Linked DNA regions of Arabidopsis thaliana. The protein of the gene in region 4 interacts with the protein of the main gene of each other region in a biochemical or structural test. Each region holds a gene or a part of one and is shown on either strand. Other genes may lie near its edges.

Evidence for each region.
Region 1: the proteins of AT2G02780 (region 4) and AT1G63430 form a complex in vitro, tested with the Arabidopsis thaliana proteins (one large-scale study listed by BioGRID).
Region 2: the proteins of AT2G02780 (region 4) and AT1G56140 form a complex in vitro, tested with the Arabidopsis thaliana proteins (one large-scale study listed by BioGRID).
Region 3: the proteins of AT2G02780 (region 4) and GHR1 form a complex in vitro, tested with the Arabidopsis thaliana proteins (one large-scale study listed by BioGRID).

The regions. Positions count from the first base shown.
Region 1 is NC_003070.9:23,520,098-23,528,102, forward strand, and holds AT1G63430 (Leucine-rich repeat protein kinase family protein), read left to right. Parts: upstream 1-2,399; 5' UTR 2,400-2,798; coding exon 2,799-2,880; intron 2,881-3,219; coding exon 3,220-3,358; intron 3,359-3,494; coding exon 3,495-3,566; intron 3,567-3,651; coding exon 3,652-3,795; intron 3,796-3,894; coding exon 3,895-4,035; intron 4,036-4,132; coding exon 4,133-4,249; intron 4,250-4,329; coding exon 4,330-4,394; intron 4,395-4,476; coding exon 4,477-4,734; intron 4,735-4,825; coding exon 4,826-5,031; intron 5,032-5,139; coding exon 5,140-5,272; intron 5,273-5,362; coding exon 5,363-5,520; intron 5,521-5,620; coding exon 5,621-5,836; intron 5,837-6,018; coding exon 6,019-6,354; 3' UTR 6,355-6,735; downstream 6,736-8,005. Other genes in the region: HMA5 (heavy metal atpase 5), read left to right, coding at 7,558-7,860, 7,960-8,005.
Region 2 is NC_003070.9:21,001,292-21,010,404, reverse strand, and holds the start of AT1G56140 (Leucine-rich repeat transmembrane protein kinase), read left to right. Parts: upstream 1-2,549; 5' UTR 2,550-2,679; coding exon 2,680-2,800; intron 2,801-3,043; coding exon 3,044-3,230; intron 3,231-3,379; coding exon 3,380-3,451; intron 3,452-3,537; coding exon 3,538-3,609; intron 3,610-3,729; coding exon 3,730-3,801; intron 3,802-3,902; coding exon 3,903-3,974; intron 3,975-4,132; coding exon 4,133-4,204; intron 4,205-4,336; coding exon 4,337-4,408; intron 4,409-4,526; coding exon 4,527-4,598; intron 4,599-4,685; coding exon 4,686-4,757; intron 4,758-4,839; coding exon 4,840-4,911; intron 4,912-5,122; coding exon 5,123-5,194; intron 5,195-5,279; coding exon 5,280-5,345; intron 5,346-5,577; coding exon 5,578-5,643; intron 5,644-5,827; coding exon 5,828-5,872; intron 5,873-5,995; coding exon 5,996-6,057; intron 6,058-6,140; coding exon 6,141-6,523; intron 6,524-6,632; coding exon 6,633-6,831; intron 6,832-6,912; coding exon 6,913-7,071; intron 7,072-7,182; and 10 more. Other genes in the region: AT1G56145 (Leucine-rich repeat transmembrane protein kinase), read left to right, coding at 261-459, 538-696, 795-913, 1,018-1,541, 1,622-1,772, 1,845-2,180.
Region 3 is NC_003075.7:11,200,373-11,207,633, forward strand, and holds GHR1 (Leucine-rich receptor-like protein kinase family protein), read left to right. Parts: upstream 1-2,355; coding exon 2,356-3,355; intron 3,356-3,466; coding exon 3,467-4,993; intron 4,994-5,079; coding exon 5,080-5,666; 3' UTR 5,667-5,908; downstream 5,909-7,261. Other genes in the region: AT4G20930 (6-phosphogluconate dehydrogenase family protein), read right to left, coding at 1-44, 151-239, 551-664. UniProt on the Arabidopsis thaliana protein: Receptor kinase acting as an early component in abscisic acid (ABA) signaling.
Region 4 is NC_003071.7:780,120-787,086, reverse strand, and holds AT2G02780 (Leucine-rich repeat protein kinase family protein), read left to right. Parts: upstream 1-2,164; 5' UTR 2,165-2,440; coding exon 2,441-3,701; intron 3,702-3,791; coding exon 3,792-3,913; intron 3,914-3,988; coding exon 3,989-4,235; intron 4,236-4,322; coding exon 4,323-4,516; intron 4,517-4,582; coding exon 4,583-4,620; coding exon of another isoform or gene 4,621-4,645; exon of another isoform or gene 4,646-4,699; coding exon 4,700-4,814; coding exon of another isoform or gene 4,815-4,877; exon of another isoform or gene 4,878-4,903; coding exon 4,904-5,155; 3' UTR 5,156-5,413; downstream 5,414-6,967.

The DNA.
Region 1 (8,005 bases), on a different chromosome or scaffold from region 4:
TTCATGATGGTTCTTATCAATTTCCCTTAGCATCTACTCAATGTTTGCTTGTAAGCATTGGGCGTGACGACAAGGGAACCTTCATGTCCAAACTGTAACAGAAGTGTATGTATATATTTAATTAGAAAATATTCTTAGTAATACGTTTTTATATCTTGATTATAAAAATTAAAAAAACAGTAGAAAGTATATACCATACGAATTTTAAGTGCATAAGCAGTCAAAACATAAACATAAATGATACAAGAGATCTAATCATCTAATGGGATGTCGACAAGTCTTAGAAACAAATATGTGTGTACGTTTATATAACGAAATAAATATAACACGAAAATAACTTAGAAACAAACAAATTGGGACACGCATGGGTAATTTGTCCCCTTCTCTTGTTTGTTGTTCAATTAATGAAGTTACGATCTCTTGAGGCCAATTATATAATTTATATAAAGACTTATTAAAAAAAATAAGAAACGTAGAATGTACTAGAAATAAACGAGGGGTTAGTTGGATTCATCTAAAAATGTTTATGTAGATTTTGTACCAAACATTAAAAATATATGTTGTGTAACTTTGTTGACAATTAAAAGAAATTATTTAATTGATAGAGTTGTTGAGCGTTGTATCTTTTAAACCATTTGATTTTCCCTACTTTATTGTGTTAATTTGCATAATGTTTTTTTCTAATATTCTGACATTATGTTTGATTTATTTCCATGAAACAACAATTGTTTCTAGAGAAAGCTTAATGGAGATTTTAGCTTTTTTTTGTTTTTTCTTCATTTAGTCCCACAACATCATAGTCATGATTTTTCGAACTTGTGAATTGTGATAGTTAATGATTCTAACTTCCAAGTGGTAACAATAAACCTAAAATACGGAGAGTATTCGTCACGCGCTCCAAGCATAAGCTCGCATGATTGGTGGCGTAACTTTCATGGGACATTTTGTCTCTCACACTAAAAATAATAATTCTTGTAGCATACTATATTTAAATAGCTTATTATTATAATTGACAAATACGTATTATTTGAAGTTTGTTTATAGCCTTCACGATACTATTTTATTACAATGAAATTGAATTTACTAACAAAATATAATTATTTTATATATTAGTATTGCATGTTAATATGTTGACCGTTGATTAAAATACAATTTAATGATCATAGCTGTGATCTACAGTAGTACGGTATGTTGTAACAACAGCTTAGCAAGGCTCTAGATCACCGTAGTGGACTAGTAGACACTAGACACCGTGACCGTACCACGAAAAATAAATTCTCTTTATAAATTAAACGCACTATTATTTCAATGATTAGCAACAATATTATACTCTTAATTAGGAATCTTCCAACGAAATTTATTCATTTCTACCATTATTCTAATGAGATGTTCTCTTCCATTTTACGTTCGAATAATAGTCTGTCCTATTATTAATTTTTTGAATATCTAAAAATTCACTACTAAAAAATTTACCTCTTTCAAAAACTAGATCCACATTAAATTAGTGAAGAAAAATCTACGGCACACTATTTCCATCAGTAAAAATAAGGAAAGTTTTTCAAAAAAAAATATATTAATATTTTAATCAAAACAAATATATTAATTATTATTTAATAGTTGAACTAATAATATGATGACATCTGTACAAATTTGATAAGAATAGTTTCTCAAAGTTTCTCCTCCGAAAAATTTAACTCTCCTTCTCTCCTACTTTTTCTCACCTCTCTCATATTTTTTTTTTTTGCTCTTACTACACAAATACCACATTAGTATCTATAATTAATAAAGTTAATAAAAATCAGGTTCTAAAATAATTTTACTCTTACATAATAACGATGATATTGGAACATTACACTTGATGCACAATTTTTTTTGTATAAAATTTACATTTTATTTTAAAAGTAAAATAGCGATAATATATATTTGAATAACAATACAACGATTATCTTTTCAACAGATCATTTTTTTAACACTAACAAATCATTTTTTAATTTACTGTATATTACAATTAAAATCTCATGCAAAAATACAGTTGTACATATGCCCCTAGATTCCTGATATAGAAAGATTTGGATATTTCCTTATTATTAATTTGGTGTTAAGCTTTGCCACATGATTGATGTATATATATTATTAATATAGATAAATATATTTCTCACTTATATAAATGAATAGAAAATCGATCTAAAAACTAAACAAACATTCATGTAAAAAAAACATCCATAATTCAGAATATTTAAAAACAACTCAGAGTCACATAAAGTTGCCCAAAGTAAAAGAAATAAAAAGATAAAGAGGATGAGAACATTCTTCCTTTCTGTGATATTTTTTATTTAAATTGTATATTTTCATAGCTATTTTTATTCTATAAAAAAATTAAAGCTCATTTTTCCCCTCCAACAAGGAAAAACAAAAACCTGTCTTTGAATCCAAGTCTCTCTCTCTCTCTCTTTCTCGCCACACTTCATCATCTCTGCTACTTTTTTTTTGTTCTCGTCTCAGTGAGTTTTCTTTGATAGGTTTATTGCTAAATCAATCAAATAATCTTGTCCAGTTTCACTTCTCTTTTACCATTTCCTTGTTCCATTCTTCAGCTTCTCTCTCTCTCGCTCTTTACTTTACTAAACTTGGTCTCTTCTTGAGCTTATACATCTCATTTCTGCAGAGAGTACTTGTCAAAGAAAGTTGTCGTCTTTCTCCAGATTCTTCTTGAGCTTATACTGTTGATCATCCGTGAAAGAATCTAGGTTCCGCTTCTTTTTTAATGAGCCGAATTTGAAGGAATCTTTCAACAGACGATGAGATCGAAGTATTTTTGTTCGTTAGCTCTTGTTCTTGGTCTCTTCTTCGTTTCTTGTGATGGGTTTGCCTCTAATGAAGGTAAAACTATTTGTTAATCTCTTTGTTTTGTGTTACTTTTCTTAAACCCAGATCTCAGATTTCAATTGTTTTCTCGCTTGTGTTAGGTTTACTAAGAAAATGCTAGATAAAGCTCATACCTTTTTAGATTCTTCAGTCTCCATGAATCTCTCTGTGAACAACTTTCTAACTTAACTTGAACAGAGTTGGGATTAGTGTAGAATCTTAATCAACCTGAAAAAGTTTTATCTTTTTAATGGATAAGATCAGAAGAATCTGTGAAGTTAAAGCTTTTAATTCAAGGTCTGATCATATAAATCATCTAATAGATTTATGGATCTTCTGCTCTGTTTTTGTTAGTTCAAGCACTTAGAAGATTCAAGGAAGCTATCTATGAGGACCCTTTGCTAGTTATGTCTAATTGGAATGACCCCAATTCAGATCCTTGTGATTGGACCGGCATTTATTGCTCTCCATCTAAAGATCATGTTATCAAGATGTAAGAATCTTTCATCTTTTCTTCTTTCTCTTGCGTTTACTTATTCTTGTATAGTATCTGCAGAATCAGTTGTTTATGAGTGGTTTAGGATGAAGTTGGCTTGAGCTTATAGCTTGTGGATCTTCTTTTCGTGCAGAAATATATCCGCTTCATCGATAAAAGGGTTTCTTGCGCCGGAATTGGGTCAAATAACGTACCTGCAGGAACTGTACGGTTTCATCTCTTTCACAAATATGTAGTTTGATGCATTGAGTTTGATGCATCTCATTAACATCATTAAAATGCTTCTGTAGAATCCTACATGGGAACATTCTAATAGGGACAATACCTAAGGAGATAGGAAACTTAAAGAATCTCAAAATCTTGGACTTGGGAAACAATCATCTTATGGGACCGATCCCTGCAGAGATCGGGAGTTTGTCCGGCATCATGATAATGTAATAAAGATTCATCTTTTTCGCAGTCAAAGTGATGCTTTCATATCTTATTAACAGATGAGTTGTTGAGACGACAGTTTTTCTTTTCACATTTTACAGCAACCTTCAGTCCAATGGTTTGACTGGAAAGTTGCCTGCAGAGCTCGGTAACTTGAAGTACCTTAGAGAACTTCATATTGACAGGAATAGGCTTCAAGGAAGTCTTCTTGTTGCTGGAGCATCGGGCTATCAGTCGAAAGTGTAAGTTTAATAGCTCAAGAAGCCAAAAATGAAACACTATGTGACTTCTGTCTATGATGGCAATGTTAATCGGGTTTTGTTTATTCAATTTATTTAGGTATTCTTCAAATTCAAGTGCAAACATCGCTGGTTTGTGCAAATCTTTAAAAGTAGCTGACTTTTCATACAACTTTTTCGTGGGAAATATTCCAAAATGTTTAGAAAACCTTCCAAGGTATTCTATCATCTATGCTGTCTTTTGGAACTCTCTAAGTCTTCAATTTAGTCTTAGAAATGCTCTTTTGTGGTCACTAGGACGAGCTTTCAAGGGAACTGCATGCAAAACAAGGATCTTAAGCATAGATCTTCTTCCCAATGCGGTGTGTAAGATAGAATAATTTTCACTTTATCGACATACATGTTCAATTAGTCTTGGTTTTCTGAATGTTATCCCTGTTGCAGCTAATGCACAACTGGTCAAAACTCATGGAAGCCCGAGCGCTGCTCCTAAGCACCAATCAGCTCAAATGGTGGCTAAGCACCATAGAGCATCAAAACCTAAATGGCTTCTAGCTCTTGAGATAGTCACAGGGTCAATGGTTGGTTTGCTCCTTCTGGTTGCACTTTTCTCTGCAGTTCACCGCTGGAACAATAGATCAACTCTCATCATTCCTTGGAAGAAATCTTCAAGTGAAAAGGAAAAGTTCACAGTCTACGTAGGTTAGAATCTTTCCTAATTCTTTACCTTCCAATGTAGAATCCATGGAGCAAAGAACTAAAAAAACGTGGCATGTTTTTATTTTAACTACAGATTCTGAAATGCTGAAGGATGTTTCGAGATTAACAAGACAAGAGCTCGAAGTGGCGTGTGAAGACTTTAGCAACATCATTGGTTTATCAGCAGATAGTCAGATCTATAAAGGAACGCTGAAAGGTGGGTCTGAGATTGCGGTGATCTCTCTTTGTGTAAAGGAAGAAGATTGGACTGGATATCTTGAGCTCTATTTCCAGAGAGAGGTAGCTTCCTCTCATGTTATCATCATCACCAAGCCACTTGGATTGAACAATCTTTAAACATATCCTCCTTTTTTCTGAGATTTTAAATCCATCTCCTCACTGTTTCAGGTTGCAGATTTGGCTAGATTAAACCACGAGAACACAGCGAAATTACTTGGATATTGCAAAGAGATCTCACCATTTACAAGAATGCTTGTTTTTGAGTATGCATCAAACGGAACACTATATGAGCACCTTCACTGTAAATAGTCTAACTTACCTCAGAGCTTTGTTGCATCATCCTGTATTGTTTTAGCTAGATAACATTTTTATGTGAAATATTTTGATGCAGACGGGGAAGCGGCGTTAGTATCGTGGGCAAGACGGATGAAGATTGTTATAGGCATCGCACGTGGTCTCAAGTACCTTCATATGGAACTTGATCCTCCGTTTACAATCTCTGAGCTGAGCTCAAACGCAATTTATCTCACAGAAGATTTTACTCCCAAGGTAAAGTAAAGTGAGACCTGCTTGTTATCTGAGTAATACAATTAGCTAAGCTAAGCTTTATGTTCACATTCTTTCTTTTTTCTGACTTTCTCTGATGCAGCTGGTTGATTTCGAATGCTGGAAGACAATTCTTGCAAGATCAGAAAAGAATTTGAGAAATATTAGTAGCCAGGGTTCGATATGTGTACTCCCAAACGGAATGGAGAGCCGATATCTTGATGTGTCGGGTAATATCTATGCATTCGGGATTCTTTTGCTGGAAATTGTCAGTGGAAGACCTCCTTATTGCAAAGACAAAGGATTCTTAATTGAATGGGTAAGACAAAAACAACTCAGTTTCTCTAAACACTTGAAACTGAGTTACTTCCTCCTCCTCTTTTTTCACCATTTATATCAAAAACTTTGTTACTGTTAGCCTAGTAGGAATGGAGTCGTCTGTTCAGGGAGAGACGAGTTTTCGTCTGGATGTGGAAGTCTTGACCTTGTTCACATGTTTAGTTATATCGCACCTCAAATGTGGTTTTTGTGGCAAAAGTTTTGAATTTGAAACGTATCTATTGCATTTTGCAGGCAAAGGAGTTCCTTGAAGCACCAGAGGCAATGTCGGGATTGGTGGATCCAGAGCTGAAACATTTTAACCAAGAAGATCTTGAGACGGTATGCGAAGTGGCTAGCCAATGCTTGAACCGGGACCCAACCAACAACAACAACAATCACAACAAGCCCTCAGTGCAAGAGCTATGCGAGACATTGGAGAGCAGAATCAGTCTGTCTATTTCAGCGGAGCTTAGATCATCTTCTTTGGCTTGGGCCGAGCTGGCGCTTGACTCGTGATGAGAATGATGAAAGGAAAGAAAACGAGTGTTGAATGATGCAATGCTAACTAACTAAAAACCAAACTCTCAACTCTGTAAATCAATCGACTGATTACAACATTTGATATTGTTTTTTTTTGCTCTGATCTTGACGAGTGTGTCTGTGTTCTTGATTAGTTTTGAGTTTTGGGTGGTTCAAAGTGTTTGTAAATGAAGAGATGAACATAGTTTCTGAAAGATTTTCTCTATTATTTGAAAATCTATGAGAGGTTGAAGAATGTTAATGTAGTGTGTTTGGATCTAACCTTTAATCTTATATTATATAGAGCATTGTATCTATTGTTTGACATGATTAGTCTCATTGGAAAAAGCTTCAAGGCAATCAATTTGAGATCAATATCAGTCTCAGACAAGTGTTTGCGGACCAAGAAGAAGAAGAAACGTAGTTGAAGTTCATAAATCATAATGCATGGATCAACTTAATAAAAGGCCCACATTTAGCCTCGTATCAGTCTAAATGGGCCACACAAGTCAATAGGCCCATTTATCAATGCTTTGACTGTTTTCAATCTTCAATTTTGGTATGACTTCTTCTTACGAGGTTGAGTGCCATAAAAGATTAGACAGACACGTAAAATAGATTCCATTTTACCTTTAGTTAAAACAGATATGGATTAGCCAAGTTTCGTTAGTATATTGTCATATTATTTTATTGAAACAGAAAAAAACAAGTAAAGATTACTTAATCATTCTTAATCAGGCCTGTTCTTAATTATCAAAAAAAAAAAAAGATTACTTCATCATGTCGTAATAATATCACTAATCAATCCTTTTTTTTTTGTCATCACTAATCAATCCATTTTTTTAGCGAACCTTAAAGTCAAAGGTGTTGTTACTTTGGACGATTAAATTTGAATTATATAATTTAAAAGAAAATTGGAATTTAATCTGTTGAGGTTGAAATTCTCTCTTTTTATATATGGCGGTTGAAATTTAAAAGTAAAGTATTGTTTGGTAGGGCCCTATAGTTTAAACATTTACAAATCGGCCCACACATTTTTGTCATTTTAGATGTCGTAAACCGCTTTCCCTCGTCTTCGTTCCAATTTAAAAAGCAAAACAATTTCAAAAAGTCTCATCATTTCCCATAAACCTAAAAGCTTTTTAAAAACTCAAATTCGATACGAGAAGAACAAGATTCGCGCACAAGACGATCGATTACATGGCGACGAAGCTTTTGTCGCTTACATGCATAAGGAAAGAGAGATTCAGCGAGCGTTACCCTCTGGTGCGGAAGCACCTTACCAGGTCTCGCGACGGCGGCGGAGGATCATCGTCGGAGACGGCGGCTTTTGAGATCGATGATCCGATTTCCAGGGCGGTTTTTCAAGTGTTAGGAATGACTTGCTCTGCTTGCGCTGGATCTGTTGAAAAGGCTATCAAGCGTCTCCCTGGAATTCACGATGCTGTCATCGATGCTCTGAATAATCGTGCTCAGATTCTGTTTTACCCTAACTCTGTCGATGTAAGCTATGATATTCTCTCGAATCTCGGTTGAATTGTTTCTGAGAAGACTTGATTTGGGATTTAGGTTTTCTTTTTCTGTGTAATTGTGGATTTATAGGTGGAGACAATTCGTGAGACTATTGAGGATGCTGGATTTGAAGCAT
Region 2 (9,113 bases), on a different chromosome or scaffold from region 4:
GTGAATTAGTTATTTTGGTTTTGTGAACTAGGTCCGTACTCTGTAGTAACTATTTTGAACTAGAGAGAGAAGATCCTTGATAAGCTTTGGCATACAAGAGATCCTTTTTCTATTAGAGTATCTGGTACAAGGTTGTAGCACATATTTCGTTCAAGTGGGGGTGAAAATTAGATGCATCGTTTTAAGGCTCAACTCTTCATGAACGATATTCTCTACTCTCAAAAATGGTTTCTGACCTCTGAGTTCCTTTTGTTTCTCAGGGAAAACTTGTTGAGAAGGATTTTGACATGCAAAAAGCTGCTAACGGTTCTAGTATCCGAGTTATTCAAAGAGTCTATAAAGCAAATGTATCAGAAAATTACCTTGAAGTTCATCTTTTCTGGGCTGGAAAAGGGACCTGCTGTATTCCTGCTCAAGGCACTTATGGGCCATTAGTCTCAGCTATCAGTGCAACTCCAGGTATACATACAGCAGAAACTTTCATGATCTTCGTAGAGTCCAATGTATCTTCTAACTAGCGGCTTTTATTCTCTGCAGATTTCATACCTACTGTAAAAAATAAGTTGCCCTCGAAATCCAAGAAAAACATTGTTATCATTGTAGGGGCTATTGTAGGAGCAGGGATGTTATGTATATTGGTGATTGCTATCCTCTTATTCATCCGTAGGAAAAGAAAAAGGGCGGCTGATGAAGAAGGTAAATGAAAAGTCTTAGCTGTGGCAGTTTTATTAAAGTCTAATCGTTAACAACTGTAACCTTCTAAGTGGTATTTATCAAATATTTCTCAAATGCAGTGCTAAACAGTCTGCACATAAGGCCCTACACCTTTAGTTACTCAGAACTCAGAACTGCAACTCAAGATTTTGATCCTTCCAACAAGCTTGGGGAGGGAGGATTTGGACCTGTTTTTAAGGTAAGACCGTACACAGAATGTGTACCAATATTGGGAGTCTAGTGTACTAGAAAGTTATGTAAAATTTTACATTATCTATATTCTAAAAATATTCATTGGTACAGGGAAAACTGAACGACGGAAGAGAGATAGCCGTGAAGCAATTGTCAGTTGCATCCAGGCAAGGAAAGGGTCAATTTGTTGCGGAGATTGCCACTATATCAGCTGTTCAGCATCGCAACCTTGTAAAATTGTATGGATGCTGCATTGAGGGAAATCAGCGCATGCTTGTATATGAATACCTCTCAAACAAGAGTCTAGATCAAGCTCTATTCGGTAAGTGCATGAGATCTTACATGTGTTATCCTTGTAAAAAAAACAAATGCTGTTACCTTACATGTTGCGTGACTGTGGCAGAGGAAAAGAGTTTGCAGCTTGGTTGGTCACAGCGTTTCGAGATATGCTTGGGAGTAGCAAAAGGTTTAGCATATATGCATGAGGAGTCAAATCCCCGTATAGTGCATAGGGATGTGAAGGCAAGCAATATTCTTCTGGACTCGGATCTGGTCCCGAAACTCTCAGATTTTGGGTTGGCCAAACTATATGATGATAAGAAGACCCACATAAGTACCCGAGTTGCAGGGACGATGTAAATATCCTGAAAACCTCACATTGGATGTGGTTTGTCAAATGGGCTAAAACTTACCGTTGTTAAATGTTATATTGCAGCGGATATCTGTCACCAGAGTACGTGATGCTTGGACATCTTACGGAGAAGACGGATGTGTTTGCCTTTGGTATAGTGGCCTTGGAAATTGTCAGCGGAAGGCCTAACTCCTCTCCAGAATTAGATGATGACAAACAATACCTTCTCGAATGGGTATATATCTAACTTTTCCTACAAACACATCCTTTTTAATTCCAAATTTGGTGAATAATTTGGTCTTTGCAGGCATGGAGCCTACACCAAGAGCAGCGTGATATGGAAGTAGTAGATCCGGATCTGACAGAATTTGACAAGGAAGAAGTGAAACGTGTAATAGGAGTAGCGTTCTTGTGCACACAAACAGATCATGCAATACGACCAACTATGTCCCGAGTGGTAGGTATGTTGACCGGTGATGTGGAGATAACGGAAGCCAATGCCAAGCCAGGGTACGTCTCTGAGAGAACATTTGAGAATGCAATGAGCTTCATGAGTGGTTCAACGAGCTCGAGCTGGATATTGCCTGAAACTCCAAAAGATTCTTCCAAGTCCCAAGTTGAAGAACATGGACGACGACATTGAAACTTGAAAACTTGTGGTTTTTCTATTTTTTGTTCTTACATAAAAAAAAAGAAGTCAATATAGAAATCGTTGTTGGTAAATAACACATATACATATTCGTTTGACCAAAATTGGATTTGACTGTTTCTCCTGAAAGTTGTGTTTGGTCCCATTTTTAACATTAAAATCCCTTAAAACCATCATTGGCATTTAGTATCAAAGTCCAAAGGTGGTGATGCTTCTTGCACTCGTAGGCAGCAGCCGCCATTGTTGAAATCTCCCGTTGACAACGCAGCGGAATCTCGGTTTAAGCGCGTCCACTTCACGGCTTGTGGATGCATCGCGTGAGACGCACTGCTCCGCGTAGTTGGTTAGACCATTAATTAAATTCAAATTAAGCCAAATGAAAAGTATCTCTTCAAAGTCCAACATAAACACCATTTTTGAACCAAATTAAAACCTTCTCCGTCTAGTTTTGGCGGCTATCATCTTCTTCTCCGTTTAATTTTAGTTTCCGACGATGCTCAGGCTATGGCGGTATCTGTGTCTACTCCTCACTGTCTGGTTCTTGTGTAATTTCGGTCCGGTTTACGTGGTTCGAGCTCAAAATCGAACAGGAGCCACCACACATCCCGACGAAGGTCTGTCTTCTTCTTCTTTGAACAACTTGACAAGTTCAAATTCAATCGATCGGATTGAAGACTGTGTAGCTAGGTCTTAAGCTACTCTTCTGATCCTAATTGATAAAACCGATGTTTACATTTATAATATTTTTTTATTTTATCCTAAGAAGTTTACCGGTTTAGTTTCAATTGACATTTTTTGTTTAGTTAATCGTATTTTGTTAAGAGCTAATAATAATTGACTGTTGTAAATAAAAACAGCGCTAGCTTTGAACTCAATTTTCGCGGCTTGGAGGATTCGGGCGCCGAGGGAATGGAACATCAGCGGCGAACTTTGCTCCGGCGCCGCTATCGACGCCAGTGTTCTCGACTCAAACCCTGCCTACAATCCTCTCATCAAATGCGACTGCAGTTTCGAAAACTCCACAATCTGCCGCATTACCAACATGTAGGGCCTCTTTCCCCCTTTTTTCTGCACCCCATTTGTTCGACGTATTCTCCCACTGGGAATTGACTTTTGTGGGGGAAACGAATGGTTTTCAATTTCATGTCTCAAATTCTTCTCCTCATTTTTGGATGTTGTTGATGTTTTCACAGCAAGGTTTATGCGATGGAAGTTGTAGGATCTATACCTCAACAACTCTGGACCTTGGAATACCTGACAAATCTGTATGGTTTTACTATCACTTGATGATTATACAATTTCAGCTACAAAAGGAGCACACATTTTCACAATTTAAAATCACTTCTTTCAGGAACTTGGGTCAAAATGTTCTCACTGGCTCACTTCCTCCTGCACTTGGAAATTTGACTCGAATGCGATGGATGTATGTCTCTGACACCTTCTTTTTTTCTTATTGTTTGTGGTGAATGTCTACACCTTTCATTGATAATGCACCCTTATAGGAACATTTCTTGTTTCTCACTCTCAATTGTTTATCACGTAGGACTTTTGGGATCAATGCGTTGTCTGGCCCTATTCCTAAAGAAATCGGTTTGCTTACAGATTTAAGATTACTGTAAGCTTAGGCTGCTTCTTCATTGTTTAAATATGATAGTGTCTTCACATTGCTTCTGGAGGATTCTGACGGTTCCTTATACACTATATATATTTCTGCAGTAGTATTAGTTCAAATAACTTTTCGGGTTCTATACCAGATGAGATTGGGAGATGTACAAAACTACAACAGATGTGAGTTTTCTGTCAATCTATAAGTGTTTATGTCTTTATATCCTTGGTTATAATTTAGATATGATTAAATATTAACCTTTGAAATCATTTAGCGATCACCGACCTCAAAATTCTAGCGCAGTTGATGACTGATGGGAAATTTCTTCCATCTATTGCAGATACATAGATAGTTCGGGACTCAGCGGGGGATTACCTGTATCATTTGCTAATCTTGTGGAGCTGGAACAAGCGTAAGACATATTGAAGTCGAATATAAGCTTTATTGTTTAACTTTAGTTGCATCTTATTTTTGTAATCTATTTATTACTTTACAATTTAGTCTTTTTTGCCGTGATGTGATTGTTTCCTTAATGTGGTACCAGTTGGATTGCGGATATGGAACTTACAGGTCAGATACCAGACTTTATAGGAGATTGGACCAAACTTACTACCTTGTAAGAAGTTTTCATTTTTACGGTTATATAATAGGCTGGTTCCATTGATCTTTTTTTTTAACCAGTCTTTTTTACATTTAAATTTGGGATTTAACGGCTGGTACGTGTTTTACTGCAGGAGAATTCTTGGAACTGGTTTGAGTGGTCCGATACCGGCGTCGTTTTCAAACTTAACTTCTTTGACAGAGCTGTATGTGTTGCATTGTTGTCATAATCATTATCGTTTTACTGTTGCTCTTCCTTTCCTTTTCTCCACATATTCATATACTATATGTAGGAGGCTTGGTGATATATCCAATGGAAATTCTTCTCTTGAATTCATCAAAGACATGAAATCTCTAAGTATATTGTAAGGCAGTTTCAACTTGAACTTCTAGGAATTGATCTGGTTCTCTCCTCCCTGTATTTAACATTTGTAATATATGTGGCAGAGTATTGAGGAACAATAATCTCACTGGGACAATACCGTCTAATATTGGAGAATATTCAAGTTTGCGACAACTGTACGTATATATGTCAATTTGTTTCTTCAAATGCTCTAGCAGCTTTTTCAGGGGTTTTTTGTTTGTAAAAAGAGTGAGATGATTTGTGAAAGTCACGAGAAATTACGAATTGATCCTATATTTCTGATTATATAATTTCTTATTTTTCCTCATTTATTGCTTAACAGGAATGGTTTGACGTTTTACCATGTAATTCATGTCTGTTTTCCAGTGATTTGAGCTTCAACAAACTACATGGAACAATTCCGGCTTCACTTTTCAACTTAAGACAGCTTACTCACTTGTAAGATGATATGTTTTCTACTTTTGGATCTTTATGTACAGCGACCCGGATTATTGTGAAAAAATAACTGTTGTCTTCATATTAGGTTTCTGGGGAACAACACGTTGAATGGCTCATTGCCCACTCAAAAGGGGCAGTCTCTGAGCAATGTGTAAGTAACAAAATCCTTTATAATTTTTCCATCTTTAAAAGCCATGTCCCCTAGTTTCTTGGACGGTTGTTAACTGATATATACTCAAGTTTCGTACACTTTTTACTCTGCATTTATTCAAGTCGAATAAGAATTCCACTCTTGGTGACACAAATGACATGCCAAGATAATTAGGAAACTATTTTGGTAACATATTCTGGCGATCCTAATTAGTGTTCTTCTATGCTTACAGAGATGTGTCATACAATGATTTGTCTGGAAGTCTTCCGTCATGGGTCAGTTTACCAAACTTGAATCTGTAAGTAAACAAAACACTATATCACGACTTATATTAACAGTGTTTTACATTCAGAAATTTCCCCACATGTATATTCATTAGACTTCTTCATATCCAGCATGAAGCTTCCTTTTTGTATGAAATTATTTATTATAATCATGTTAGAGAGAATAATATTAAACTAAACTGTATGTTCTTTGTGCAGCAACTTAGTTGCTAACAACTTCACATTGGAAGGTCTTGACAACAGGTGACTTTTTAATTAATGTTCTTGTTAGGGCTTGAAATTGCTTTCCCTTTGTTTCTCTTTTCTCTTTTTTATTTGTTGCTTGCAAATAGTTTAATCATATGTTTAATTTCTTTCTGTAAAAAGGGTTTTATCAGGACTGAACTGCCTGCAGAAGAACTTCCCATGCAATCGAGGGAAAGGAATATGTAAGTGTAACAGCAATATCCGCTTCTTGAGCAAATGTTGGAAAAAAATCCGCTAAATTTTTTCTCTTTACACTGGTGTCTAGATTCTGACTTCTCAATCAACTGCGGAGGCCCAGAGATAAGATCTGTAACTGAAGCAGTATTTGAGAGGGAGGACGAGGATCTTGGACCAGCTTCATTTGTCGTGAGTGCTGGTCAGAGATGGGCAGCCAGTAGTGTAGGACTTTTTGCCGGAAGTAGCAACAATATATACATATCTACTTCACAATCACAATTTGTCAACACTTTGGACTCAGAGCTATTTCAGTCAGCAAGACTTTCTGCATCTTCCCTAAGGTATTATGGGTTGGGTCTAGAAAATGGAGGCTATACCGTCACACTTCAGTTTGCTGAAATACAAATTCTAGGTTCTACTTCCAACACTTGGAGAGGTTTAGGAAGACGACGTTTTGACATTTATGTCCAGGTCTGCACTACTTGACCGAGCTTTCTGCTTTACAAATTAAATTTTGGTGTAATTATCTGCTTCCGACTTTTGATTCTGATGAATTCTAAGACTAGCTCACTTTTTCCAGGGAAGACTTGTTGAAAAGGACTTCGATGTACGCAGAACAGCTGGTGACTCCACTGTTCGAGCAGTTCAGAGAGAATATAAAGCAAATGTATCACAAAATCATCTCGAAATTCATCTTTTCTGGGCTGGAAAAGGAACATGCTGTATTCCTATCCAAGGGGCTTATGGGCCATTAATATCGGCCGTCGGTGCAACACCAGGTAAATAAATGGTGAATTCTTCTTGTTTTACACCATCTCCTGATGCTAGTTAGTGCTTAAGTGTTACATATTTCTGTTCAGATTTCACACCAACTGTGGGTAATAGGCCACCATCAAAGGGAAAGAGCATGACTGGTACTATTGTGGGTGTCATTGTTGGCGTTGGACTTTTGAGCATCATTTCTGGTGTGGTTATCTTTATCATCCGAAAAAGAAGAAAGCGGTACACAGATGATGAAGGTATAGATGTAAAAAGCTCTTGAACTGTAGAATTTTGGCCCTCTGATTAAAAATTAGTTATATATCATCTCTCATATTGGTCGATTTTAAGAACCGAATTGTTTCTGGCAGAGATACTTAGTATGGACGTTAAGCCTTACACCTTCACTTACTCGGAACTTAAAAGTGCAACTCAAGATTTTGATCCCTCAAACAAGCTTGGAGAGGGAGGATTTGGCCCTGTTTATAAGGTAAGTCCCTACTGAAATTTGTACATATTTGAGATATTAGGAAAGAAGAGTATATGTGTACTATCTTTTGTTTTGATATTACCTTTTGTTTTGACAATATCATTTATTGAATAATGCATTCAACAGGGAAAACTCAATGATGGAAGAGAGGTAGCAGTGAAGCTATTGTCGGTGGGATCCCGACAAGGGAAGGGACAATTTGTTGCAGAAATTGTAGCAATTTCTGCAGTCCAACATCGCAACTTAGTAAAACTTTATGGGTGCTGCTATGAAGGAGAGCATCGTTTGCTTGTATATGAATACCTTCCTAACGGAAGTCTTGATCAGGCTCTATTTGGTACGCACAGAAGCATGTTTATCGATCCATGCTTCTGCCAGGCTAAAATCACTCATTATGTACATGTCATTGGTTTGAATGTTGCAGGGGAAAAGACTTTGCATCTTGATTGGTCAACCCGTTATGAGATATGCCTGGGAGTAGCCAGAGGTCTAGTCTATCTCCATGAGGAGGCAAGGCTTCGCATAGTACACAGGGATGTGAAGGCCAGCAACATTTTGCTTGACTCTAAATTAGTACCAAAAGTTTCTGATTTTGGGCTTGCAAAACTGTACGATGACAAGAAAACCCACATAAGTACCCGGGTTGCAGGGACAATGTAAGTAACTCCCAACCCTGACCTCTGGTTTGCAACACAACTATGGATTTATAACACATGTTGGTGATTTTACTGTATCAATGCAGTGGGTATCTTGCGCCAGAGTATGCCATGCGTGGACATCTAACAGAGAAAACGGATGTATATGCCTTTGGTGTTGTGGCTCTTGAGCTAGTGAGTGGAAGGCCAAACTCTGATGAGAACTTGGAGGATGAAAAAAGATATCTTCTTGAATGGGTACGTCCATACTTCAACACTTTTTGATAATGAACACAACTTCAATGTATGTGACCATGAGAGGCTAATCTGGGTTATGCCCTTTAGCAAAAGCTGATATTGATTGTGTAACTTGTTCACAGGCATGGAATCTACACGAGAAAGGCCGTGAAGTTGAACTTATTGATCATCAGCTGACTGAATTCAACATGGAAGAAGGGAAACGCATGATTGGCATAGCCCTGCTGTGTACACAAACATCTCATGCCTTGAGACCACCAATGTCACGAGTGGTGGCCATGCTTTCAGGAGATGTTGAGGTCAGTGATGTCACTTCAAAGCCAGGCTACCTAACCGACTGGAGATTTGATGACACCACAGCCTCCTCAATCAGCGGCTTTCCATTAAGAAACACACAGGCTTCTGAATCCTTCACGAGCTTTGTGGCGCCTAGATCCGAGATATCACCGAGAAACAACGACGCTAGGCCAATGCTTGGAGCCCAGATGAATGAGGGAAGATGACAAAGACCCTATATGGTGGCTATAGATATAGTCATATAGAGATTATGTTTGTGTATATGAGGTTCACTTTATTCTTCTTGGATTGGAAAAACTCTAGATTTCACTTTGGTTAAATAATAATAATATTTTAGCTCCTCTGACTTCCACAAGCGGTCGTGATGGGCCACGTACTATTCACGTCCTCAACCAAATCAATGCCGTCTCTTTTACAGTGTAACTGTGTTGGTTTCCAAATGAAGGAAGTTATTAAGAACACTTTTCATGAGTGGTTCAACGAGCTCGAACCGGATATGACCTGAGATTCTAAAGAATATTTATGAGTCCCAAGTCGGAGATGGACGACGATTTGAAACTTGAAACGTGTGCTTTTGTTTTTATATTTTGGTGTTTGTCTTACATTATTAAAAGTCAATAAA
Region 3 (7,261 bases), on a different chromosome or scaffold from region 4:
AAGAGACTCCCATTTCAGTGAACATTTTCATAACATCACGGTTTCTGAAAATTCAAACACAAGTATATGCACAAGAAAGTTAATCAAAGGAATCAACATTAACCAAATATGAAAATTGATAGGCAGCAAAACGCACTCAAAGTACATTACATGTCATGAACGGTAACTTTATATCCAGCTCTAATTAGATTATTCACCATTCTGAATCCCATATTTCCAAGTCCTATGAAACCAACATTCTGACAAAACAGCAAAAATGAGACTTCATTTACATAAATTTTGGGTACTGAATCAGACAAATTTTGCTGTTAAAAATCTAATCCAGACAACTTTTTTTGCAGAACTGATGAATTTAGATAAGTGGTCAAGATCAATAAGCAATTTGGCCACTAAAATTCTTATTAACTATGCTCGAGATTACAAAAGTTAAGATCTTTTATTCCAACTACCTTAAGGATCATGTTTTAGAACGTTTCAATAAAATTCTAGGTGACTTATGAGGAAAAGAGATTATGTTTTCTGATCATGAAGACAATTTAAAAAGCAGAACCTGGAATTGATTTGAATTTTGAGACGAAGAAGAGAACCGGTGGAGCGACCCAGACACGAAATTGGTTTTGAATTTAGAAAGACAAAGTAGAGTTTGCGCTCTGCGAATCGCCATTGATGAATTTCTTCAAACTCAGAGCAAGTTAACAATTAGCAAATGAGAGTGAGTTTTAGACGTAAGTGTGTAATCTCATCAAAACACTCAGATTTTTGTTTTTTGAATTATGACCCCTTAACTATTAATTTATTCTGAACCCGGACATTTACTTTCAACATTATCAGTAGAACCCAAATAATTGGTCTGATGCCCTTGTCTCTTCCGGTCTTCCCTAGTCAACGTAGTCAGCATGTGGGACCCATTTTCCTACGCGGTATTTATTTCGCTTCTACATTTTCCTACTAATTAATGTGGTATCAACTTCAAAAATATTTATTTGTCCGAATATTCATTACTATTTTTTCTGGATTGTTCAAAAAATCATGTTTCATTTACTACACATTTTCCTTGCAAGCTTTTAATATCTGTATTTTGGTGTAAATAACATTCACTCCGAACTCTCATTACTCTTTTTATTTTCCCTATTATTTATTTATGTAAATTCATTTATTGCAAGTTTCTACCAAAATTTATTAGAACACTGCGCAATTTTCGCTTATTTTCCCAATGCTGTAAATCTCTCTCACTAAAGGCAAGGACATAGACTCATAACCATATTGGATAAACCCTTTCACGTCCACCATGGTCACACTCACTAAAAACATTAGTGTAAGTAGCTTTTTTCATTTTTTTTGGATTCCTTTCCCGGGCCATTCCAGGCGGGTAATTAAACTATATTTTAAATCTTTCCTCACTGAAAAGACTATGAAAAAGTAAATTAATATATAATTTTCTTCTCGTGAACCCATGAAAATAATTTCTTGCTATTTTACTTTTTATTTAGGGTTTTTGATTTGGTGTCCGTTCACACGCTTCAAGACTTACCCTTTTACAAGGTCCTTGTCGTTCGTCACTGTCGAACGTGAAAACTAGCAAAACATTTTCTCTATCTTTAATTTTGTTTTGGCTTCTTTCTTTTGTTCTTAAACAGTGACAATCTTTTAAGGGTTTTTAATTTTTAAAGTGACCCACAAAGATTTCCCTCAGTTAGCTCAGTGACTCAGTCTACAACACTGTTGAGCTTAATCCAAAACCCCGTGCAGTTCATGAGCTAATGAACAAAATGATTCTGCTTTAAAGTTTTTGTCTTCCTTCTTCTTCAACTCTGTCGACATTGTTCTTGCAGTGAGAAGCTTTTTTCATCCCCGTAAGTTTAAAAATCCTCACTTTTCATTTATCTCTTTGCTTTGGAGTTAGGTTAGATCTCGGAATGGGACCCAAATATTGAATAGCCCATTTGTTCATTTAATGTTTTTTTCAGCTGATTCCCTTTGAGTGAAGATTGTCTCTTCTCACTCAGTAGCATTACTGCATTTTGTTTGATTGGGGTTTCTCAGAAGATTTGTTCATCTTAGGTAAAGTTTCTTTCTTTAGCTTCTGTTTTTTTTTTTATCAGAGTGAAATTTCTGGTATTGTTGATTTTTGCAGAAAGATTTAAACTTTTTTTTGGTAACATTGATGGGTTTTGTCTTATTTCATTATGTTTTATGTCAGATTTACTTGGGGTTCCATGAATTTTCTGCGTTGGTGAGCTGGAAAAGTTGTTGGGATTCTTCAAAAACTGTAGCTTTTTGGGGGAAAAGATTTGAAGTCAAGGAAGGATGAATCTTTCTAGGATTTTGTTACTCTCCATGTTTTTTCTATCTGCAATGGGGCAACTTCCATCACAGGACATCATGGCATTGCTTGAATTCAAGAAAGGCATCAAACATGACCCTACAGGGTTTGTCCTTAATTCATGGAACGATGAGTCTATTGACTTCAATGGTTGTCCTTCTTCATGGAATGGTATTGTCTGCAATGGCGGTAATGTGGCTGGTGTTGTTTTGGATAATTTGGGTTTGACTGCTGATGCTGATTTCAGTCTGTTCTCCAACTTGACAAAGCTTGTCAAGCTATCTATGTCAAACAATTCCCTTTCTGGTGTGTTGCCAAATGATTTAGGCAGTTTCAAAAGCCTCCAGTTCCTGGATTTATCAGATAATCTGTTCTCTTCTTCATTGCCTAAAGAGATTGGTAGATCAGTAAGCTTGAGGAATCTTTCTTTATCTGGTAACAACTTTTCTGGTGAGATTCCAGAGTCTATGGGTGGTTTGATTTCACTTCAGTCGTTGGATATGAGTAGCAACTCCTTATCTGGACCTTTGCCAAAGTCCTTGACAAGGCTGAACGATCTGCTGTACTTGAATCTGTCTTCTAATGGATTCACGGGGAAAATGCCAAGGGGCTTTGAGTTGATTTCAAGTCTTGAAGTGCTTGATTTGCATGGTAATTCAATTGATGGTAATCTTGATGGGGAGTTTTTCCTTTTAACGAATGCGAGCTATGTCGATATCAGTGGAAACAGATTGGTGACGACGTCTGGGAAACTGTTACCTGGTGTTTCTGAGAGTATCAAGCACTTGAATCTCAGCCATAATCAGCTTGAAGGTTCATTGACTAGTGGGTTTCAGTTGTTTCAGAACTTAAAAGTCTTGGATCTTAGCTACAACATGTTATCTGGAGAATTACCAGGTTTCAATTATGTCTATGATCTTGAAGTTCTCAAGCTTAGCAACAACAGATTCTCAGGTTCCCTTCCCAATAATTTGTTAAAAGGTGACTCTTTGCTTTTAACAACGCTGGATTTAAGTGGCAACAATCTCTCAGGTATGCTCTTGGCTTTATCTTCTACATAGTGGAAATTGTTATATGTTAACGGTGGCACCAAGAAAACTAGAAATCTAATATTTTTTTATTGGTTTTCCTTTTGTGTTTCAGGGCCAGTAAGTTCTATCATGTCAACTACTCTTCACACCCTTGATCTTTCTTCAAATTCACTGACCGGGGAGCTTCCTCTCTTGACTGGGGGATGTGTTTTACTCGATCTCTCAAACAACCAGTTTGAAGGAAATCTGACAAGATGGTCAAAATGGGAGAATATAGAGTACCTTGATCTAAGCCAGAACCATTTCACTGGGTCGTTCCCAGACGCAACTCCCCAGCTTCTGCGAGCAAATCATCTTAATCTTTCCTACAATAAGCTCACAGGCTCACTTCCAGAACGGATTCCAACTCACTATCCGAAGCTTCGGGTACTTGATATAAGTTCTAACAGCTTAGAAGGGCCAATTCCAGGTGCGTTACTATCCATGCCCACTTTGGAGGAAATCCACCTTCAAAACAATGGCATGACAGGTAACATCGGACCCCTGCCTTCTTCTGGTTCCAGAATCCGTCTTCTTGATCTTTCTCACAACCGGTTTGACGGGGATCTTCCTGGTGTATTCGGGTCTTTAACCAATCTTCAAGTGCTGAATCTCGCAGCAAATAATTTGTCTGGCTCTTTGCCTAGCTCCATGAATGACATTGTCTCTCTAAGCTCATTAGACGTATCCCAGAATCATTTCACTGGACCACTCCCAAGCAACTTATCTAGCAACATTATGGCCTTCAACGTGTCATATAATGATCTATCAGGGACTGTGCCAGAGAATCTGAAGAACTTCCCTCCGCCTTCCTTTTATCCTGGAAACAGCAAGCTCGTCTTGCCTGCTGGGTCCCCTGGATCAAGTGCATCAGAAGCTTCCAAGAATAAATCCACGAACAAACTTGTTAAGGTTGTCATAATAGTTTCTTGCGCTGTTGCTCTAATTATTCTCATCCTTGTGGCTATCCTCCTTTTCTGCATCTGCAAATCAAGAAGGCGCGAAGAACGTAGTATTACTGGTAAAGAAACTAATAGGCGGGCTCAAACTATCCCCTCAGGCAGCGGAGGTGGTATGGTTGTCTCTGCTGAGGATCTGGTTGCTTCAAGAAAAGGCTCATCATCCGAAATCCTCAGTCCAGATGAAAAACTAGCTGTTGCAACCGGCTTCTCTCCTTCTAAGACCAGCAATTTGTCTTGGTCACCTGGCTCAGGAGATTCATTCCCAGCTGATCAGCAACTAGCACGGCTTGATGTGAGGTCACCAGATAGACTTGTGGGAGAGCTGCATTTTCTGGATGATTCAATTAAGTTGACTCCAGAGGAATTATCAAGGGCACCAGCTGAAGTTCTGGGAAGAAGTAGCCACGGCACTTCTTACAGGGCAACGCTGGATAATGGAGTGTTTCTAACAGTGAAATGGCTAAGAGAAGGAGTGGCAAAGCAGAGAAAGGAGTTTGCTAAAGAGGTGAAGAAATTTTCTAACATTAGACATCCTAATGTTGTGACTCTCCGAGGGTACTATTGGGGTCCAACGCAACACGAGAAGCTTATTCTTTCAGATTATATATCGCCTGGAAGCCTTGCCAGCTTCCTTTACGGTAATGCTCCTTTCAATAAACTTCTCTAAGTATTATATGTATGTGCAGTATTTTTCATCAAGCTTACGGTTCTTGTTTGATGACAGATCGACCGGGCAGGAAAGGCCCTCCCTTAGCCTGGACCCAACGGTTGAAAATCGCAGTTGATGTGGCACGTGGTCTAAACTACCTCCATTTCGACAGAGCTGTTCCACACGGTAACCTCAAGGCAACAAACATTCTCTTAGATGGAGCAGAGCTAAACGCGCGTGTGGCAGATTACTGCCTCCACCGTCTCATGACACAAGCAGGCACAGTCGAACAGATTCTAGACGCAGGAATCCTCGGTTACCGAGCTCCCGAGCTAGCAGCTTCAAGAAAACCATTACCTTCTTTCAAATCAGATGTATATGCGTTTGGTGTGATACTTCTTGAGATCCTAACCGGAAGATGTGCAGGAGATGTAATCACAGGTGAGCAAGAAGGTGTTGATCTAACCGATTGGGTTAGGTTACGTGTTGCAGAAGGGCGTGGTGCAGAATGCTTTGATTCGGTATTGACTCAGGAGATGGGAAGTGATCCGGTAACAGAAAAAGGCATGAAAGAAGTTCTTGGGATTGCTTTGAGGTGTATAAGATCAGTTTCTGAGAGACCTGGTATTAAGACCATTTACGAAGATCTTTCTTCTATTTAGGAACAATGTTTTTTTTTTTTTTTATGTTTTGTAGGTTCCAATAGAGTTTGGTTCCTCTGAATGTGTTCTCCTTTGTCAAGTTCATGTTCTGTTTCGGGAGAAACATGTTCTTGATTCAAGGTACTAGTGTGTTGTGTCTTCTGTTAGTTTACTTTACATTTTCCCTGTAAAAAAACGAAATCTGCTCATGTCTCATGAGTGAATGAAATTTCATTTTTTCCCATTTATATTCTCTCTTCTTGGAAGTTGCTAAATTGTGTTTCATGTTCCGGTTAGACTTAACCGAGTCTTTGAATTAGGAATCTTAACTTAGATGTTACGTTTTGTATTATATATGATCTTTCTCCAGACCCTAATCCTAGAAACCCTAATCCCAAAGTCCGAATGGAAAGACCAATACATCTCCCGGAGGCTATATTGACGGAGATTCTAGCGAGATTGTCTTTGAGAAGCATCTATAGATGCAAATCGGTAAGCAAAACATGGAAATCGTCAATCAAAACATGGAACTGTTGATGCACGAATCACACAAGTACGAAAATGGGATCTCTAGGGAAGGAAGAAGAATCTTTCTATTAATGACGAGCCCGCGACTTAGGCGAATTGGACGGATTACAAAGGATGATTTCTTCAACAAGCATAAATGGAAAAAGAACGAGCCGATTGTAGATGAAAGACGAGCTTGAGGCCGGAAAACGATCTTGATATCCGAGGAAGAATAGAGTTTATTCGTTTTATAGCTGAACCTTGGAACTTATTTTGGGGTTTTGACTTGGGTTTGGGCATTGGGCCAAGTAGGCCCAATCCGACCCCTAACAGTTGCCCCCCAATCCTGATGCATCGTTGATGACGTGGATCAGGATTTCAGGCGCTCGAAACTCAATCGAAGGAAGTAAAAAGTCGCGCATGGGGAAGACGCAATGTTTGGTTTGTCTTTCAATTTTCTCAAGGTTCGGAGATCGAAGCGTCGCATGGCTTTCAAAGTATAGGCTGCTATCACGACGATGTGCTGTCTCGGTGATAGTCAAGCGAGACGACAAGGAAGGTTAAAAGGGGCCGCCTCGAGTGTTGCGTGACCGTCACATTTCTGAAGAGCCTCCTGGATCAAAGTGGTCGTCTGGTGTTCAAGTTGGGATGTTCGAGTCATTCGAAAGTGGTTCTTTGAGGGGGAGAGGGAAGAGACGAGGGTCGTTAATCGTGATGAACAACGAGCGAGTGTTCCGAACTCGTCCGATGCGTTTTGCGTGCCAATGATCATTATTGGAGTTATCGTTTCGTTTGAAGGAGGCGTTCCTTTTGCTTTTAACTCGTGTTTGTGCTGAGCTCGCTGTTTGAGAGGCAAGACTGCTCAAGCGTTGGCCGATCTAGACAAAATCTTGAGCCGAGGTTGAAAAGATGAGTGGAAAGTATAATAATTTAGTTGAACGTGCTTTTTCAGGGAGAAAAGAGCTTTGGGAGCGTCGGTTGGAGTATGACAACTTCGTTCAAAGGTCGGCGGTTGATAAGATGGCGGAGCTCATCGAGAAGCGATTGGATCGGATCAAGACCTATATTGACGATACGAAGGTGGCGGAGCCAAAGTTTTTCAATTCAAT
Region 4 (6,967 bases):
AAATGTCTATATTCAATTAAAAGCAACAAAGAAAAAACACTAACTAAAAAAATAGAATCATAATCTGAAACGAAAACTAACTTTTTCTTTGTCTCAATGCCGATCAATTAGCCTCCATGAGCAGTAATCCTACAATTATAAAGAAACGTATTATAATGGTTAAAACTCTTGTCATCAATCCAAAAACACTCATACTTAATCTTAGATCTCAATTTGAGATAAATTCGAAATAAGCCTAGATTTCTAAGTTACAACAAATTTTATTGATTTTAATCAAATAATAAAAACATATAAATAATTATTTCATTCACATAAATATATCTAAGAAAGATAGACACACATAATTAACAAAAGATAAACTAAATCGTATTAGAGTCATCATTTTGTCACCATCCAAATTCAAATTAAACTATTAGAATGTTAAGTGTCATATCATGTGGTTTAGCTATAAACATGTAATACTTTATAATCATTTTAAGTTATTTCTTATTACCATCATTCACTGGAATTTGTTTTACAACTTTTGTACAGTTGATCTTTAATAAATGAGCTAAAACTAAATAGAAGATTTTAAATTTTGATGATTGTCTATATATTTAGTGTAAAACAGTAAATGAAAGGCAAAAAAGCTGCAAATCAGATTCTGAATAAAAAACATGTTATGACGTCTAATCAAAGTTTTAGGATCCGAGAAGTTTACTTTTCTTGAAACACAATAATCGAAAGTTTTGTTTAATCAAAAGAAGCTCATAAATAAATTCTAGGATCCTAAATAGCTAAGTAAAAAACAAACTGAAATAGATTACAATGAATTCATACATTACATTTTTGTAGTTTGAGACCCTAGAAATACGATCTTGTTCCTCCTCTTTTGTTTATAGGCTCAGTTTTAAACCTTAATAAATTAATAATCTCGGAACCGATAAATTCTAATTAATTTATAAAGGTATTAATTTATTAATAAATCTTATAGAGAGATTTTATTAATTTTGTAATTTTTTAAAATTTCTATGTGAGAAGTAGTTTTTGTCTTTATAATCAATGTCTTTCAAAAATAAATTACAAATAAAAAACCAATTGTTAAGTTAGTAAACAAAAAACACTTTGTTCAATATAGTAAAAATATTAGAAATGAACTCTACTAAAAATTTTATACAAATTTAAGAAAAATGAACAATACTAGAGTTAAATCCCACTAATTTAATTAAATATATATATATATATATTAATAAGTGTAAAATTATTAATTTATGATATTGATGAGATCATATGTTTACGTAAGAGTTTTTAAAAACTTATTATTTTATAATTTCATTGATTTGTGTTATTTATTACATTGAAAACGTCAAGAATTTATTAATTTGTAAAAATAGTAATTTATCGAGGATTAGTTTATAAATAATTTACTGTATTAGCATTCACAAGGAATAAGCATAGTACATATATGTCCCAATGTTAAGTAAATCATTTTTTGTATAATTACTTGTCAAAAAAAAAAAAAAAAAAAAAATCATATAGAAACTAAAATATTTGGAAATATATATGGACTCAAAGGTTGTACAATTTTGGGCCTAACCGTATTATATATAATATACGGGCTAAATGTTACACGTATGAAGCCCAAAATAACCTCTCTTTTTTTTTGTCAAACTTGATTTGTAATTGAATTTTAATAAAATTAAATAATTGAATTTTAATAAAAATTAAATAATTGAATTTTAAATGCATATTTTTCGATAAAAAAAAAATGTCTGTTGCAGAAAATATTAAATGATACTTTCGCAGTGACGATTATTCCAAGGCCGTTTGCATGTGCAGATGTGCTTGATCATATAAAATCCATTCAAATTTTCTAACATTAGTAAATGAACAGTTCATCAGAATAAAAGAAACAGCTCGACATTTGGTAGAATCTCTAACCACACTTTTAAAGAAAAGACACAAACCTAATGGCTTCTCTCTCTCTCTCGAAGACAAAACACGACATAAATTTCTTAATCCTCATTACCTATCACCGACAAGTAATGAAACATCTCTATAATCTTATCTGATCAATCATATATAACCAAAAGCACTTGTTTTACTAATAAAACAAAGCAAAAATCATGTGAAATACAAGTTCTTATTGTTAATTTGTTATAGTAGTAATCAAATCAAATAAATAAACATTTCATCTTCTTGGATTCATTGCAAAACAGTCTGTCAAGTTGAGGTTGTGCAATGTGCAGTAATGAACAAACAACCAAACCAAGTTTAAGAACTTAAAGATTGCATTTATTGCCTCCACCTTAATTGGCTTTTCTACTTTCATTTACTTCTTCTTCTTCTTCTCTTGATCCAAAGTTTTCCTCTACACTACCTATAGATCTGTCTTTGTTCCTAGAAAAATGATAACTTTCAGTGAGTTTCTGTTTCTCTAAAGGCAAAACACATCTTCACTATGCAGATTTCTCTTCAAATCCATTTATCTTCCTTCACTTTTCTTCTTCTTATTTTCCTTCTTCCAGTACTCTCTGAGTCTCAGGTAGCTTCAAGTGAATCACAAACTCTTCTTGAAATCCAGAAGCAACTACAATATCCACAGGTTCTTCAATCATGGACTGATACAACCAACTTCTGTCACATTCGTCCGTCTCCTTCCTTGAGAATCATCTGCCTCCATGGTCACGTAACAGAGTTAACCGTCACCGGGAACAGAACTAGTAAGCTCTCTGGAAGTTTTCATAAACTCTTCACTCTTCTTACACAACTATCGAGCTTAAAGACTTTGTCTCTTACTTCTCTCGGAATTTCTGGTTCTCTTTCTCCTAAGATCATCACTAAGCTATCACCGTCTCTTGAGTCTCTCAATCTTAGCTCTAATTTCATCTCTGGGAAGATTCCAGAAGAGATTGTGTCTTTGAAGAATCTGAAAAGCCTTGTTTTAAGAGACAATATGTTCTGGGGTTTTGTCTCTGATGATCTCAGAGGATTATCAAATCTTCAAGAGCTGGATTTGGGAGGTAATAAACTCGGTCCTGAAGTTCCTTCACTCCCAAGTAAGCTCACCACTGTTTCATTGAAGAACAACTCCTTTAGATCCAAGATTCCAGAACAGATCAAGAAGCTGAATAACCTTCAAAGTTTAGACCTTTCTTCCAACGAATTCACCGGGTCGATTCCAGAGTTTCTGTTTTCGATTCCTTCTCTTCAAATTCTCAGTTTGGATCAGAATCTGTTAAGCGGGTCACTTCCAAATTCTTCTTGCACCTCCTCAAAGATTATAACTTTAGACGTGTCTCACAATCTTTTAACTGGAAAGCTTCCTTCTTGCTACTCTTCAAAGAGTTTCAGTAATCAGACAGTGCTTTTCTCATTCAACTGCTTGTCTTTGATTGGCACTCCTAACGCGAAGTATCAGCGTCCGCTTTCTTTCTGTCAAAACCAAGCAAGCAAGGCAATAGCTGTGGAACCTATCCCCAAGGCTAAAGATAAAGATTCTGCAAGAATCAAACTCGGGTTAGTGATTTTGATAATCATCGGTGTGATCATCCTTGCAGCAATTTTGGTTCTGTTGGTTTTGATTGCCCTCAAAAGAAGAAGATCAAGATCAGAAGATGATCCTTTTGAAGTGAACAACAGCAACAATGAGAGACATGCCTCTGATAAAGTCTCTGTTTGCAGCACCACAACTGCCAGCTCTAAGTCATTACCAGATTCAAGTAAACAATGACTTATCTTATTAATACTTGGACACTTGAAACTGAGTCTTTCTCTAGCAAAAACCATTAACAGGATCTTTCTGAGTGTAGGACGTGTACCACAGACAATGAGATCTGCAGTGATTGGTTTGCCACCGTACCGCGTTTTCTCCTTGGAGGAACTGGAAGAAGCGACTAACGACTTTGATGCAGCTAGCCTGTTCTGCGAACAGGTAAAAACAAAAACTTGACTTGAGACTCTGGCGACGAACCTAATAGATTACTTAATATATTTGGTATTCGAACAGCTGTATAGAGGTTGTCTAAGAGAAGGCATACCAGTGACAGTGCGAGTTATCAAGCTGAAGCAGAAGAGCTTGCCACAAAGCTTAGCTCAACAGATGGAAGTTTTATCAAAGCTAAGGCATATGCATTTGGTTAGCGTTCTTGGACACTCCATTGCCAGTAACCAAGACCACAATCAACACGCTGGACACACCATCTTCATTGTTCAAGAATACATCTCTAGTGGATCATTGCGGGACTTTCTCACAAGTAATAATAACCTGAAAAAGATTAGAATATATATTCAGGTTTCCATAGACTCAAATGGTTATTCATTATGGGAATTTTTGTGATCAGACTGTAGGAAGAAAGAGGTACTGAAATGGCCTCAGAGAATGGCGATAGCAATAGGAGTCGCTCGAGGGATACAGTTCTTGCATATGGGAGTAGCACCAGGAATCTTTGGGAACAATTTGAAGATAGAGAACATCATGCTTGATGAAACACTCACAGTAAAAATCAGTGGCTATACTATTCCTTTACCATCCAAGGTATAAAACTTTGTTTTATTTCTTCTTCTATTAATTGAATCTAAGAAAATTTAATGGCATTTCTAGGTTGGAGAAGAGAGGCCTCAAGCCAAAAAACCTCGGAGGTTGTTGTTGTTTCTTAAGATATGATCAAATGTGTTCTCTTCTATCAAATTTTGAAACTTGTTAATGAATAATGTGCAGTAATGAAGATAGAGAGAAAGAAGATGTGTACCAGTTTGGAGTGATACTACTACAAATCATCACAGGGAAAGTAGTTGCTGCAGGATCTTCAGAGATGGGAAGTTTGAAGCTTCAGGTCTGTTCTGTTTCAGTCAGAACCTTTTCATCTTTAAGAATCCGACACGGCTTACAAATTTAGAACCTCAATGTTATTATTTCCTGCAGCTGGAGAACGGTTTGAGAGATGAACCATCAGTATTGAGCAGCTTAGCAGATCCATCTGTTAAAGGATCATATGCTTATGAGTCGTTGAGGACGACAGTAGAGTTTGCTATCAACTGTCTTTGCGAAGATCAGAGCAAGCGTCCTTCCATAGAAGACGTTGTGTGGAATCTACAGTATACAATTCAAGTGCAGCAAGGATGGAGACCAAGCAGTGGGAATCATGAATCATCCATGAAAGCAATATATGAATGAAATGATCATAAAGAGAGGCAAAAACTGTAGAAACAATAATAAGTTTCAAACAAGTCAAGATGTAGTTTCATGGACTACCTGAAATATCTTTTATTAGCTAACTTAGTAATCTGTGAATAAAAAGCAAAAGGAGTTGAAAAACACACAAAGACATGTAAGAGAGTGTGTCCAGCTTTGCTCGACAACATTGCAGACTCTTCTGTTGTATTCGCGCTTGCTTTCGCTGAACATTCGTGCATCTCTTAAAACAAATCAGCAGTCTACAATCTTGCTAACCTGCTTGATGAAGACATCAAAATCTTCAAAAACCTTCACAGGTTCTTTATAACAAGAATCTCTGTGCCTGGAATACTATAGAAAATCCCAAAAGTTACTGCAAACCTCTCACTATGCTCACGTCTAACCTCTCCATCTCAACCACACTCCGTGTTTCGGGCAATCTCCAATACAGAAGTCTCTACCTCATCCAGCATTCTATAAACTTCCTTTGTTATGACTTGTATCGCTAGCTAAAAACAAGTGCTTGTGTTCCACATAACTATAATAACCATAGCTATACCCAGGTTAGGTAAGATGTCGAAAACAGCAAGTGGCTTTGCCAAGTTACCTCACCTAGCATACATACTACTGATCAATGCATTTTCGCTCACAAAACAAATTTTGTTACAATACCATTGGCTTTTACTAGCTTCTTACTTCTTGACCAATCTCTTGAGCCTCCAAGATAGATAGGCACAAGAAGACAGGATCATGACAAACGCTCGATGATCACAAACACATACACACCAGCTTCCTTCATTCGAGTTTGATATGTGAGCTCTCGTAGACGCACGTTCCATGGCGTCGAGAAGCCACCGCAGCGACGGTCATGGATATTGGCACTTTCGATGAGCTTGGCGTGTGGGGTATTTGTTTATGTGTCTATGAACCATTTATTGGCAAAAGGGTATCGACCAAACAAGATGGTCCATGTGGATGAGCCTGGTTATAAGTTTTTGGCTGTGTTGTTTGAAGTTGTTGTCATTGCCATTGTTATGATATGGGACACTTGAAAAAAACACCAATTGACTCATTGATTTCTCAGGTTTGTAAAGAAAGGATGTTGATTTTGAATTGTTTATAGCAATCCTCGTATTGTAGTGTACTTTGTAGTTTGTAGCATCAAAAATAACAACAACAATAGTAGAAGAGATGTTTCTCTTTTTTTTTTTTTCGCCAGAAGAGATGTTTCTCTCTTATTCCATTTTGACAAGGTTTATCTTAACGGTACAGTATAAAGATGGGCCTATAATTGTTGAGTTGGGCCTGTAGTGGCCTTGTAGGTGTTGTTATTGGCTTCATTTGGGCCCGCCACTAGAACACCAAATGGACCAATGGGTGATTTATTTTGGATATCAGTAGACCAAAAATTATATCAAATTATAAATTTGGGTCTGATTTGTATCAGTGGACTGATATCTTTGATACTCAGTATCATGTGACGTTGCAGCATACGGTTGGTCAATATTTTCGCTCAAATCAGAGAAAAAAAAAATCTTTAGTAATCTTATGTTATAATATATTAATTTTTGAATTTGCAAAAAAAATTTTTTTATACTTAACCGGTCTCACCAATATAATCATATTTAGTAGGAGTATCATAAAAAATCTCAAATAAAAATCAAATATTATAAATAATACTAAAAAATTACTCATGATACTATATAAGTATCACCCCATATCATGCTCTTAGAATTGTGAAACTTATAAAACTGGTCTTTTTGTTAGGCAATGGTGAGGCTTTTTTACTTTCAGGTTTAAAAAACATGTTGA